Caenorhabditis elegans: one gene and its partner. The protein of the gene in region 1 purifies or fractionates together with the protein of each later gene. This does not show direct contact. Each region holds a gene or a part of one and is shown on either strand. Other genes may lie near its edges.

Region 1 (6,939 bases):
GTTTTTCATCTTTATGAACCGTGATTGTCGCATTTTCGAAAATCTTCCTCAGACATTTTAGGAAGGAAATGTCATTTTTATTTCCTTAGATACTCCACATTCAATTGTTTTCTGGGATAATCTTGACATTGAAAGCATTATTGAAAACCAGTTATCCAAAGTTGACAATTTCCAGCATTTGACAAAAGTTGTATCTAACCTCACAACCAGGCCACAAAATAATAATTCAAAATTTCAAATTGCTCAACGCAAGTCAGTGTTTTTTGTGCAATATCACATTGAACGATTTGATACTAAATAACAGTAGTTTTGCATACTTGGAATATATGAAGTTTAACGAGAAAGACATCAGCATTTTTCTAAAACATTGGATTAATGGATCAAATGAAAGACTGATTCATTTGTTCTTATCAGGAGAATCCGCGTTCAATGACAGAGAATTGTCTGTCAAAACTATTCTCAATGGAATTGGTTGTGAGAGAGCTTCACCTACCCGAACAATGTCACATTTGCCTAGCTCAGTAAAAGAGCTTGTTGGTAATTTTCCAAGCACACTCAAAAATAGCTTCGACATTACAAACAAAGACGGAACTGCTGCAACAGTCACTATAGAAAAATCTACGCGGGACAAGATACATGTTTTCTTGACTGTCTGGGATGTATAAATTTACAAATGCTTTTTTATTTATTACTGTATCGCTTAACGGAACGTCTGGAACAGTTTCTATACTAATAACTCGAGACATTCTACTTTTTGGCCCAAATTGTTTATCTTTATAGCATGTTTCTTCTTTTCTATATTTTTTATTCAAGCATGTAATTTTTTATTTTCTTCATCCATGTTTCTTGTTTGAAATCAAAAAGTTAATAAATGTTGTTTATCTAAACCGATTATTATCTAATTGACCAACCTCTAAATCCCACCGGGAAAACACACAAATTTTGCCATTAAATTCTAGCTTCTTACAGTTATAGGTATTGAACAGTTTCCAACCATGCACATTTGTGTAGCTCATTAAAAGAGCTTGTTGATTATTTTCCAAACACACTCAAAAATAGGTTCGACATTATAACTAAAAATGGAACTGCTGCAACAATCACTATAGAAGAATCTATGCCAAACAATTTACGTGTTTCCTTGACTGTATGTGATGTATAAATTTACAAACTTGTGTTTTCGTTATTACTGTGTCGGTTATCTTTTATTGAATAAAAACCTATAACTTCGTTGAATATCAGTTTTGAGAAATTCTGAAAAATGCTAGTTGCATTTGACCTAAACTTTTTTGTCTTACTTTTCCAAGTCTTACTCCTAAACACAGGCAAATCGGGTACGGTCCGTTTACGGATCTTGGACCAGGAACAGACCATTAACGGGCGAACTACGGATATGAAAAGCGGGACGGACCAATTACGGGCAAACTACGGGGAATGTAAAAAATGGCCATTAAGAGGAAAAAATGGATTTTAAGAAAACGAATTTTTTTTTAATACCTATGATACCAGTTGGCTAATTCAAGCATTTTTACGTCGTTAAATGCATTATTTAGAGCAAAAACCACATTTACCGACCGAGATGGCTCTTGAGCCGTAGTTGGGCCGTTTCCGGTCCGTAGACGGACCGTAAATGAACCGTCCCGGGCACCAAATTTTTGTTTTTGAAAATTTCAGGTTCTAGCACGGAAAAAGTGCTCAAATTAGCCAAAGGAGAGTGTAGGCACTTCAAAAACTCCATTTTCATGAAAAATGTTTTCGTATTATCCTCCGTTTTGGTGATCATCCGTAGTTTGGCCGTAGCCGGTCCGTAGATGGTCCGTAAATTAACCGTCGCGGTCGGCAAAACTGCACTTTTTAAAACTAAACCTTGAATCAGGCAAAAAATTAGCCAACTGGCTACAATGAACCAAATAGCATTGTAGGTACTTCAAAAACTCAATTTTCATGAAAAAAAATTCCTCTGGGCAACCATTTTGTCTATCATCCGTCCAACTGGTCCGTACGCGGCCCGTAATCGCATGCGATCTAACTGAGGCTATTAAGCATTAAATTGTGTGTAAAAGAGGTTATATTAATATAATCCTATAAACATATCAATAAAAAAGATGAAATGCCACAATTGGGTAGATACTGTGTATACGCAACGTTCACTCTCTGTGCTGGTCTTCTTCAGCTGAGCAACAGGACCATTTTTTGAAATATCATAAAATATTTTACTAACAATACATTCTGGAATCATATCGTTTCTGTTCCGTGTGTATTTTAAGAAATTAAGGTATCATTCAAGTAGAACGCATATACCTTATTTCCTCTATTAGTATTGCAACCCGGTCCAATCGAAAATTAGTCTTGCATGCAAGACTAATAGAGGAAATATGGTAAGTACCATTTTTGTATTACAAGTAGATGGAGCACGTATAGGTAGATGTTGAGAAATATGCGAAATAAGTTCTGAACTACACGAAACTGTCAATTGTTATCGTTCGCTTTCATATAAGTCCAACGGCAAGATGGAGAATCAGAAACTACTGAAAATACAATCGAAAAAGTTGGTGTAAGACGTGAAAACCAGAAGAAAATGCGCGAGCGCGAGCTAATCGCTATTTATGCGAAGTCTATTGATTTTCCTCACGTGCGCGAACGGCCAAACGGTAAGGTGATGGGCCAGTTATCAATCGACAGGCAGTGGACAGGTTCAACTCCGGCTGAGACAGATAGATTTGCTACAACGAAGGATCACCGGAAGACGGTCTGGAGCAAGACCGGAGCTCGGAGGAGCATTGGGAAAGAAAAAGGGGGCAGCTGGAGGGTGAAAAAATTTTCCCATTTTTTAGTCTCCTTACGGTTCAATTACGGTCCGTTGACGGACCGGGAATCGAACCGTGAACTGTTCTTAAATTTGAGCCGTTCCCGGTCCGTGAACGGACCGTTTTGGGCACTTTCCGCTTTGCCTGTGAAATATGCACCAATTAAAAATTAACATTGAACCGAATTATTTTTAGTTCAACAGGTCTCAGAATCATTTGTATGGATTTATTTCTGGAAAGACCGAGTGGCAGTGGCAGGTGTGTCTCAAAGGGAATCTACGTCATAAGGTCACTCACATGTTTCCTTGACTGCCTGGGATGTATAAATTTACAATAGTTTTCTTATTTATTACTGTGCCGGTTATTTTTCATTATATAAAAATCTATTATTTCGTTGAGTATCAGTTTTAAGGAATTCGGAAAAATACTAGTTGCAATCGACCTAAACTTTTTAGCTTACTTTTTTTACTCCTATGAACCAATTAATAATTAGCATTGAACCGGTTTGTTGCTAGTTTAATAGGTCTCATAATAATTAGTATGTACTTATTTCTGGAAAGAAAAGAAAAGAGTCGGATCAGTCTTAGTGTCTTAAAGGGAATCTACGTCATAAGGTCAATCTGACAGGGATGGCTACACACAATTAATGGTCAATGTAGTCATTCACAGCGTCAAATCGATACTAAATCATTTGCTCTTTTTATCCAATAATTGTCCTTGTTACTCAAAAACAATCCGTCTATCTATGTCTTTTTGTATTTTGAAGAATTTTTCAGACTAATTTGAACAAGTATTTTCAGTTCAACTTGTGATTCCAAAATCATGCAGGACGGTGAATCTAATTTCCCTCTTCTCCTTCTACCCGAAAACGCTAAGAAACATGTTCTTCGAACAATGGACGTGGATTTTCTGTATGTTTCCCAAAAACCACAAATTCATATTATTGTTTTGCGTACCTATTTTTAAAATATGTTATTCTTACATTTATGAGCACTTGTTTTGCTAGACTTTTTTCAATTAGAAAAAGGAAAACTAAAATCACTTTTTATTGGAGTGACATCACTGATCATTTTCTCAATTTGTTTTTCAGGCTCTCACTTTCCTTCTGCTCCAAAAGGACTAAACACATTGTGCAATCTCTCAAACTAAAATTCGAGCATTTTAAGATGGATCTGTTAGGCAAAACGAAGTTGATGATTAATTTTCGATCAACTACAATTTTGCTTGTTTTTAACGCACTCTATGGAGATAAAGCATGGAAAGATGTGTTTCGAACTGTTGTGTCAACGGGTCCTCCTAATGCCCGATACTATAACACTAACTTTTTCAAAAGTTTTGGATGGGAAAGAAAAGAACTCGCAGTTGAAGATACGATTTATCATATATTTGACATTTTGAACACAAACGTGATCGACGTATTTTTGGACTGTAATAACAGAAACATGTTTTTCTTCGAAAAGTTATCTCAGACTTTTCGAGAAAGAAACGTTCGTAGAATATCGTTGGGTTCTATGCAGAATCCTATTTTCAATAGTTTTTCGTACCTTGAAAACTCTTTAAGAAACCAGTTTCTGGAGTTGGAGGGCCTTGCATATCTTAGAGAATTATATCGTACCTTGCAAGAAGAACACAAAATTTTGATTCAAAACTTTAACTATCTCAATCCCAATTTGCCTTCTACAGGCAAAATGACATTGAATGAGTTGTTATTAATTAACAGTTCTCACATTACTTTGACTTTTAATGAAATGGCTTTGAATGAGAAAAGTCTTAATATTTTCTTGAAGCATTGGATTAATGGATCCAATAAAAAACTTGACTATATGTACTTATCCGGATTTACACAACTCGGAGAGACATCAGTGGCTATCGAAGCAATACTCAAAAGGATTGTTCATAAAGAGGCTTCCCATGACAGACTATTTAAGAAGTTCTATGACCCGGGATCGAATGGAAATATCGGTGATAATTCATCAAGTCTTAAACATGGATTTGACATAATAAGTAATGACGGAACGCCTGCAACAGCTTCTATACGTATATCGGAAGGCGTTATATACTTTCAAATGAAAGTCTGGGACCAGTAACCCTTTCAATCACAATTTATCTTCAAACCATATTTTTTATCTTCCTTTTTATTCTCTTATAAGAACATGGATGTTGTTATTAATGCAGTAATTGGCGTTTTTTGTCAACTTTACACTGAAATTTTCATTTTCTATACTCATAATTCCTTCGAGCAAAAATAAATAAACTTTTAAATGATAAATAGACCTATCTCCTCCGAGATCGCGACAAGCTCATAAAACAATATACATCATTTCATCTTAGGTCACGATAAGCTTAAGATTGCCTTCTTATGAATTCATAGACTAGTCTTTCAGCATCATCTCATTCATTTCTTCAATTGCTTAATCTCGTCAAACCTAATAAAAACACTTTCATTGTGTTATCTTATATCCATTTCCTGCTAGGTAACTATAGAAACTCAAGTGTTATGCTAACAGGTGTATATTTCTCCAATGCAACTTTATTTGATATTACACGAATCGTATAGTTGTTTTCTGTTCTCGATTATTCGATTTTATATATTAAAACATTGAAAAAAATACACAACAAGGATAGACCTTTCAAGAGGTACAATTGTTCAAAGGAAAACATAAGAAAATGAAGTTCAGTGAAGTGAAAGGAAACCTTACTACTAAAATTGTAGGGTGTCTCATGCTGTAGTTATTGAACAAGTTTTACTACTTATCATGTTTTTGAACTAATTTTTTGGTTGGAACTTGTATAAATTATTCCATCAGTTCAAATAGTAATCTCCATTTTTTTCAAAAAAAAACTGTCGGTAATTTGTCTAAAAGCTTACCTAAAATCCCATAGCAAATAGGCAAAGGTTATGTGAAGCTAGGGTGAATTGACTGCATGAACACTATGTGACTTGGTAGCACAGACTTTGAAGTTTGGTCATCAGTTATAGATAATTTTGTTGAAATGTTATACATGAGCCAAGTGGATGTGAAAAGTAGACACAAAAATAATAATTTTTCTTGCTGGAAAAGAGGAAAATAGTGAATAGTTGGAATGATTGGCCACCGAAGTTAAAAATGGCATTTTTTTAATCGTTTAGTATTTTTAACTTTTTGATATCAATTCTTATATACGGAATTTTTTATACTGAAAAATTAAAATTGCTTTTTCAGTGTTCGCTGTTCAAAAATTTTCTTTGCGAAAAAATGTCCTAGTAAATAACTGTATATTATTAGAAATTATAAAAGTAGCTAATAAATATTGCGCCATTTTTAGAACTTGATTAAGCCAACTCTAACACCTACGTGAATGCCTATTTGCCTGCCTACAAGGCAGGCAAGCACGCTTACTCACGTGCATATGTGCCTGGATACCAGAGCATTGAAACATGATAAACATTTTATTACCAAATAATTTAGAAACCAAGCAACTTGCAGAAAAATGGAAAATACGCCCGCTCTCTCACCAGCTCGCGCCTCGCCCGCACGCCCGTGCGCCTAAAAAACGCCCCGAAGAGAAAAAAATTCATAGCTTGTAAAACATTTATTTTCAATTAAATATATAATCTTCCATTATTATGAAACACCAATAATTAACATGATGGCAATTTATGAAGGTAGGGGAGAAAGGCGCCCCACGCTTCACCCGGTTGGGATGCCTAGGCATTTCAAAGTGTCAGCCCCTGCAACTTCCTCACTTAGCTTTTTTTGTCAGTTTCAAGATATCAATGACATCATAAATTGAATCCAAAAAAAGACCACCTTCTTTTCCGTTTCTTTTCACATTTCTTTCCTTCCGTTTCTTGCACACCCTCTAATCACACCCATTGTGTTCCTAGTATTTCTTTTCAAACAATGATCAACTATTTCTTTTTCTTTTTTCTTTTAAATTGTCTCCCATAATATTTCAGTTCACAAATCTCAATTGTCAATATTATGTTTCTTCTGTTTCACTTTCTCTGTTCTCATTATTATTTTGGGTTGAAGGGGGGGAAAGGCGCGTGCTCCTACCAGTTGGCATGGCACCCGCCTTTTTCGAGAGTGTGTCTGTTTGCAATCTCTTTTCTCTATCACACAACAGAAAACGAAAAGGAAAGAAAAAGAAA
Region 2 (8,135 bases), on another chromosome or scaffold:
GAGAGAACATTCGTCGCACAAGCAATGGGAACCGGATTTTGGAAGGATCCAGTGCACATTTTATGATATTCTAATTATTATTTGTTTTTTAATTGTGTTTTATTCTTTTTTGATGAATAAATTTTGCCTAAAGCAATTTTTAGCAACCCCAGTTCACAAAAAATAAAAAATATATACAAAATTAACACATACATTTCGTGTATAAAACATAAAATATACAGAAATTGTACGTATCGTGAGCGCGAGTTTTGTATTATACACGAATTATACATAAATTATACACGCACAGTCGCGATTCATGATTTGTACATGTATTATACACATGTTAGCCGGTACTCGTTTTTTGTACATTTTGTGTATATTTTTTGTATAATACACGAACCGCGATTTACCTGTGCCGACTGAGCTATCTGCCCCGTATGAATTTTTGGAAAAGTTAGAAATTTACAAAAACTACGACTTAATACTAAAAAAATTTTGGGAACGTTCTATACATTACTGAATTATTATATTTTTTAAACAATCGCTGTTGTGATGGATTGTTAAAACATTGTATAGAAGTGAAATTACATGGATTAACATATGATCATATTATTTTCAGATAAGGTTCACAAAAATGGATCAGAAGTCGAAGTATTTACAACAATGAACGCTACTGCTCACTCTTTAGAGTTCATAAGAACTAAAGTGATTTTAAAAAAATTCTTGATAAACAAAATTGGTTTTAAGATTCACGTCTGTAATGACATCCCGGGCGAGATGTGCACCGAACAACTGGTAACTGATTTTGGAGGCCCAGTCGTTCACTCAAATAATGATTCCAAAACCTATGTTGGGCATGCTTTTGCTCGTTAGTTTTCCCGCCTTTTTCAGAAAAATATTCAAGACAATTCAGATAATGAGCATTCCATACGGATAATTCCTATTTATCCATATTTGAAGCAGGTTTGTGAAGTAACAGGAATATGTGAAAGGACATCTGAATCTGCAATATTGCCAGCATCACTTTCGAATTCGAAATTGTCATTTGTGGAATCCGATGAGCCAGTAATTCATGTAAACTTTCCAACCGCCGACGAGTCGACCATTGGTGAGCCTGCTTTTATGTCGAGTAACACATTCTTGGAATCCGAAGTGATTGATGTTGGAGAATTGGAAATTCGGGAAATGGAAGTGGAAATCGAGGAAATCATGGATGAAGAAACTGACGAAAAAACTAACGAAATCGATTTGAACACCTATTTTGAACAGGACGAAGCTTCAGATTCAGAACCAAAAACCGAAATGGAGACTCAAGTGGAATCAAGCGGAGAAAAAATTATTATCCTCTTCGAATCAGAGGAATCTCAAGACGAATCAGATTATGAACCCTTTGTGATATCTGCTGTGCCAGAAGATTCGACTATTGTGCGAGCAGAGCCATTCTCCGCTGTGATCATACCACTCCCCGAGCACACAATCGAATCTAGCATCAATCAAGAATTTTCGACGCCAGAGGAGCTTTTGATAGCTTTTCTTATCATGTTATCCCTTACATTTTTTGTTCTGATGTGCGTCTATGGTTTTGTTGAATACACGGGAAAACCATATTACTGGAATATTGATTTGGGAAACAATCCAGTCTGAGTTGTCATAATTTTTACTACGGTTTTTTAATAAATGTCTGTTTTTTTGTGAAAATAAATATACTAATTTATTATTTGCAAAATAAATTATATATCGTTGAAAAATGATTAAAAAAATCCCAAATCAAAACCCAACCCTGGCAAAAAAGAAAAAGGAATGATTCTTCAGTTTCAAATAATACATTCAATAAATTAGTTGATTTCTACAACTACACAAGTTTTCACCATCATATCGTAGAAGACACGTCCTCTGTTAATCTGGAAAACTGCGGTGCTCAGTGGGAAAAAGCTACTGACCACCAAGTTTTTTATGAATGATCGCTTCAGGGCCCTGCAAAAATAGAATGAACGGTTGTGTCCTTGGTTATTTGTAAAAAATACCGGATGAGCCATAATTATGTTGACAAAAACATTCGCTTAAAAAATTTGGAGGGTGAGTTCAAACATAGTAAATTAACGCGAGTTTGTCTTGTTATGATTTAGATAATATTTTTTGCAACCGAATTTCAAAATTGTGATTTGGAATTTTAGGTGGATCTTGATTGGCTAACTAGTAAGTCGGAGAGGCTTCTTATCATTCCTTGAACATTTTTATTGGAAGTCAAAAAGTGACAAATACTGAGTTTTTGAGGAAACTATAGCACTGTCGCATATTTGAATCCCTACTATTTTTGAAACATAAAGAAACTTTGATCAACGTATTCCAAAAAATGCAAAACTGAAAACTGACAAAACTGTGAGATTTTCTGATTTTCAAAAAATCATATAAAGTTTTAAATTAGTTGTTAAATTTTTTTTGCAGTTTTTGTCCATTGTGGAGCCACAGGCATGTTTTTAAAGCAATTTTCCTTTAAAAAAATCCTCGCACGAAAGTATGACTTGTGTGCGAAAATCAAGGCAATGCCTGTCAACATAATTTTGGCCCACCATAAGAAAATAAGAAAATATATGTTGCACTTACTGTGAATAAGTAATCAAATCGGGTCCCTCTACAATAATTTGATCAGGGCGTTCTGCGGAAGTAACATCACGACAAGAAATTACTCGAATTCCACACATCCATTTTCCCAACGTCTGTCCAACTCCGATTGGTCCAAATCCTCGAGCCATTAACACCGCCTGAATAGAAAAATTTCAATTGTTTGAGTAATTTCTGGATGCTCACTTCCACGAAACAGCAAAATACTTTACACACAACTTCAACTGGGAGAAGGTCTTGAGCAAGATTAATGAAGTTCATCACATCCTGATCATCATCCAAGCTTGCTCCGATTTGCTTTAGGTCACTATAAAAACAAGGTTTGGTACGATATAATTGAATATTCTCTTCTTACATGTGACCCAATTCCGAGAGTGTTCCAACTACAGCAAGTTTGAAGCTGAGAATAAAAACAAAATCTATCAATTCTGCCAGAAGACGTCTCAAGAAGCTTGCAGCTCTGAAAAGGAAAATACGTTTTCAAAAATGTCTCAATAAACAACATACTCAAATTGAACTGAATCAACACGTGGTTGGGCTGGTTGGAGAACTTCTACGTTAACGTTTTGTTGAAAAGTTTCGGCAGAAAAAGACCTGCTCAAATGCTCCACCTGAAATTAAAATGTTTTAAAATCATGCTATTTTTTAGAATTGTTATTAAAGACGGGTTGCTTATAGCACCACAATGACCAAATATCATAATTCAAAAATTCAAAAAAAAAATTCTAAACTTTTAATGATTTCTATTAATTGAGCAATTCTAAGTTTTTTGAAATCGTCGATCAAAAAAACAGTTGTCTTTTTTTTTTAAGTTTTACTACTATATTCGATCATTTTGGCTCTATCCGAGTGGCTTTTAACAGTTTGCCCATTGGCGCAAAAAAATAATGGGTTAACATCCTATTGTTTTTATTAATTGAGATTTGAACTAGGGGTGGCAAATTTGTTTTTCGACAAACTCGGCAAATTGTCAAATTTCCGGTTTGCCAATTTGCCGGAATTTTTAATTTTCGGCAAATTGCCGATATGCCTTTTGCCGGACATCAGAAATGTCGGAAATGTTTAGAGGGGTTTTTTAAAAGGCGGAAAATTTTAAACGGATGCTTTTTGAATTTTTTCCGGTTTTCTTTAAATATTCTCATGGATTCTGCTTATTTTCAAAAATAGATGTAGGAACATTCTTAGGATGCGTACAATATTGCCGATTGAAATTAAAGTTCTGAATATTTTTCAATAAAAAATGTGAAAAACCACAATTTACCAAAAATTTTCTATTTATGGTTTTTCCGAAAATTAAGAAGTGTCGAAAATTTTCGAAAACTCCTGATTTAAACCTTGAAAAAAACATTTGAAACTAATAGTAAGAATATTTTGATTTTATAAATTTTTATCATTTCAAAACAACTCACATATTGCATGGATTGATCTATCCGGCGTAAAGCAGCTTCTCGATTCTGACGCCGCACTACTTTCAAATATTCTCGATGTGCATTGGCCAGGTTTTCCATCGATCCGTAGTCTTTTTCTTCACTCCGCTGACCGTACACTTCCTGGAAACGTCGCCTCGTTTCCATTATTTTTGAAGATGTCATCGTTCTGTAAAACAATAAAAATTGGAATAGAATTGTATATGTATTGCATGTTTTTTTTTAAATGAAACAGTAATTATAAAAAATTAAAAATATACAGTGCAGCCCAAAAAAGGTATATTCTTTTGGATGAATATAAGTCAGAAGCTGGAAATTATTTTCCACCAACAAAGGTAAAAGGAATACTTTTTTGGCCAGCACTGTATATGCAAAGCGTAAAATCAATGCAGTGAGTGCGTGAGGATGTGTTCTGCGGACCTCGCAGTGAACATGCAGACAATACATCATATTTTACGACACTTGGGAAAAGGGGACAGTTGTGTGGAATATTCAGGGAATGCGTAATCTTATGTACACCAAAATATTATAGTTGCATTCGAACAGAATCGAAGCGTTGAAAAAATATTCGATTTAAAAAATATTTATTTTGAAAAAAAAATCATATGTAACATGAAGTGGATTGTCAAGTGTACCCTCGAACATATATCATAGAGAACAGACCGATAATCCGTACTGAACCCACTTGAATTGTAGGCTTAGCAGAAATAAGATCATCATGGGAACCTTGAAAATTGTGGTCGATACCCTTCATACCACCTCGAAAGATTCATTGCAAAATATTCATTCTTTGTATGTACTCCATTTCACTTGGACCACATCTCGCAAGAACTTTTTTCTTTGTTTTTGCTCATGAATCCTAATACTTATTTGATTTTTGGGAAATGTTATTTATTGGCATAAAACATGACAATTCAGAATCACACATTCCATTCAGTCAGCCTTCGATGAAACGTTAGGGTAATAGTGCGGAATGAATTTACTTTTGGAAGAAGAGTTGTCTCACATTCGTTTATTTCTATGTAAAATTTCCGTGATTTTGTACGCTATCGTTGGTAGATTTTTATAGGTTTTTGGGAAGAAGATTTTTTTACAAGTTGTGTAATGGATTAAAAATATATATATGTACACAACTTACTTTTTTTTGAGTCATTACTCAAATTTGGCAGTTCATATCTGCGTTGCCGTTTGTCCTATTACAAAAAACGGCAACTACTGAGGTTTTAAAACATAAATAGGCCATAGAGATAAAACATAAAAAGAACAATTTCTTTGAACGATGACTTCTAAAAATGGAGCAAGAACTGATAGTGAGGTGTTACAAATTTTCGAAAAATCGTATAAAATTATGAAATTTTTTTTTGAATTTTTTTAAACTAGAATATCGCATTTGGTCATTGTCGGGTGTAATGTTATTAAAACTGTGTTTGGAAGTAATGTGCTCAAAACTCTAATATCAGTTCAAGTAAAGTATTCTGTAATTTCTGTAATCGGAATGGTCCATAACAAATTTTTATTACGCCAAACCAAAAACACTTGCATAACGATTTCTTGTTTTCTCCTCATTTATTCAAATCACAACTTTGATTCTTTTGCTTCGGAGTATCATACATTCAAATTAATCAAGCACTAATTATCATCAGTGTCTATGCTGATATCTATATTAAACCGCAAAACCGTTTTTTTCCCTTCCGTCCAATGTACATACAGACAATAGCCCGAGCGTAACTGATAAGGTCATTCAACTTTCAACAGCTGTGAGTGCAACGCATTTCTCTCTTTTTTGCCCATTTTTTTGGTGAACTTCCGATATAAATTCAATTGATCTTTCTACTACATAGTTTCCGTTTTCCAACAATTACCAAGTTTTTGAAAGATAGGCCAAGTTGATTTAGTGTTGATCGTTAGCGGAGAAACGATGCGCACAACGCTCCAAGAAGGTTTTGACGATGATTTAGATCACCGAGAAGAGAATCTCGTGAGACCGACATTATATACGGACCGCTTCAAGGCCGATCAAGTTGTGTAGGCTGCGCGTGTTTGTTAATAGTATCAGTAGGGTTTTCACACGACAGTAGCCAAGACCGCCAAAGTTCTGATACGAGGGTGAGAATTTGAGCCATAACTCCTCAATGAAAAATAGGTACCAAGAATGTTGGCGGGCTAGTACATAGTAGTTGTCGTAGTACCACTAGAGCGTGGGGCCCTTTCTTTGGCCTGCGCGACACCGACGACGCATGAGATATCTAGACAGCGTACGCATCAGAGTTGTAATGACGGTTGGGGTGGCCGTAAGATACGAGTGATAGAGAAACACCTAAAGAGACGCGGGGAGGAAACGACGCGACAGTGATAGAGAGAGAGACAATGATAAAGAGAGCACGATACGGTATGAGAAGAAAGAGGACAGATATGGAAGTGAGAAAAGAAAAGGAATTTTTTTCTGATTCGTTTTTCTTCTTCTCATCACATTTTTTTTCTACCCCACACGCATTGTTTATTCATACTATCTATACAACAATTGACAGCCAACAAAAAAGAAAAGAATAGAAGACGTTACAGAGAATTGACAGTTATTTGTTGTGTATTTCTTATGCCAAGCGGTTGTGTAGACTTGATTCAACTGGAAATTGATGGTGACCGGAAGTGGTCTGAAAACCCTTATGTCACATGATTTTTTTTTTTTTGCAGTTTTAATTTTGATTTGTCTAAAATTAAATGCATAAGTTATGTACTTCAAAAATTTTCACTTATAATTATACCTATACTGATACTTTATACATATACCGAGTTATTGCATCCAAAAATTTTTGACATTGGCTCTCAATTAGTTGGATGCATTGCATATATCATCCTCAGTTCTACGCCATCTGACTGACAGACGGACTGCCCGTTGATTTATTTCACCTCCTTTTTTTCTTCCGGATTGTTTTATAACTCTTTCATTTTTGGAGAGAATATTTATTCACTATACGTTTTTTTTCTCTCCTTCAATTTTCATTTTCAACCTTTTCTTATTTATCCTGCTGTCATACCAAAACCTTCATTTTTTTCTCTTTTTCATGTCAGGTTCTTCAGCCTTCCAATTAGTGGTGGTTAATGTATTTAGACTCATTCTTCGCATACCATTCGATTGTGTTCCGAGTAAATCCTGTTCAAAGACATCACAGCAAACACAGAAAAAACAACAACGATGCATCTCATCTTAGGCGTCTGAAGTCTGGTTATCACACTGTTTTATTTGTTTTGTAGTTGATAATGAAAAATTGTAAATTGTTTGAGAGTTTAACAATGGAGTATTTAGTGGGAACTTAGTCTGACTACACGTTAAAAATTACTGAATATTTTAAAAAATCAAAACGTACATAAAGATTCAAAATGTACTAATTTAACAAATTTCGTGAAATATCTTCTCAAAAATATTTCAAAAACCTTTTTTCCAATTTTGAAAAAAATGGTCTATTTTTTTAAAGCAAAAGTCTCCTATTTTGGCCATTTTTCCGAGCCATCGCGGTCAGAAGTTGACGTTTTTTGACTGAAATTACTAAAATTGATGACTTATCTGTTTTGCATGTACCCTAATAATACCAAAAACTAAGTAAAGTTCAGACCGATAATGGACCAAAATTTGGAGAGTTTAGTTAAAATTAGGCCGTTTTTTTTCAAAGTTTTGCACCGCCGCAAACATTTGCAAAACTTTTTTCGAGAAGTTTTTTACGAAACTCATTTCTGCTCTAAATAAAAGTTTTCAAAATTTTTCAAAAAGTTTTTACTATAATATTTGGAATATTTAGCACTGACAATTTCAAAATCACTAATTGTTTTTTTTTTCAATTGCCAATTATTTTTGGTATTTAGTTGTTATACCCCAAAATATTTCAAATTATTTTTTTAAATCAAAATGTGCATTATTTTTGTAATCTAAAATTCGTAGTAATCATATTAAATCAAAAAGCTCAAAAAAATAACAGTATTAGAGAAAATATTTACGTGTTGGTTTTCATTTTTTGCCAACATTTTAGGGTATAGCTATTACACAGAGTAATCTATTATTTAAATTTAAAACAAAACCCAAAAATTGGAAAAGATTTCACTAGAAAAAAT

What was found. Proteins that work in one complex are often made in the same cells at the same time.
Region 2: the proteins of fbxb-3 (region 1) and F48B9.8 fractionate together in Caenorhabditis elegans (co-fractionation; one large-scale study listed by BioGRID). This does not show direct contact.

The regions. Positions count from the first base shown.
Region 1 is NC_003282.8:11,835,354-11,842,292, forward strand, and holds fbxb-3 (F-box domain-containing protein), read left to right. Parts: upstream 1-3,603; 5' UTR 3,604-3,626; coding exon 3,627-3,715; intron 3,716-3,894; coding exon 3,895-4,891; 3' UTR 4,892-5,073; downstream 5,074-6,939.
Region 2 is NC_003284.9:2,172,212-2,180,346, forward strand, and holds F48B9.8 (RDD domain-containing protein), read right to left. Parts: upstream 4,201-8,135; 5' UTR 4,179-4,200; coding exon 4,014-4,178; intron 3,216-4,013; coding exon 3,112-3,215; intron 3,065-3,111; coding exon 2,960-3,064; intron 2,912-2,959; coding exon 2,791-2,911; intron 2,745-2,790; coding exon 2,587-2,744; intron 1,957-2,586; coding exon 1,818-1,956; 3' UTR 1,686-1,817; downstream 1-1,685. Other genes in the region: F48B9.3 (ZP domain-containing protein), read left to right, coding at 602-687, 730-850, 896-1,626.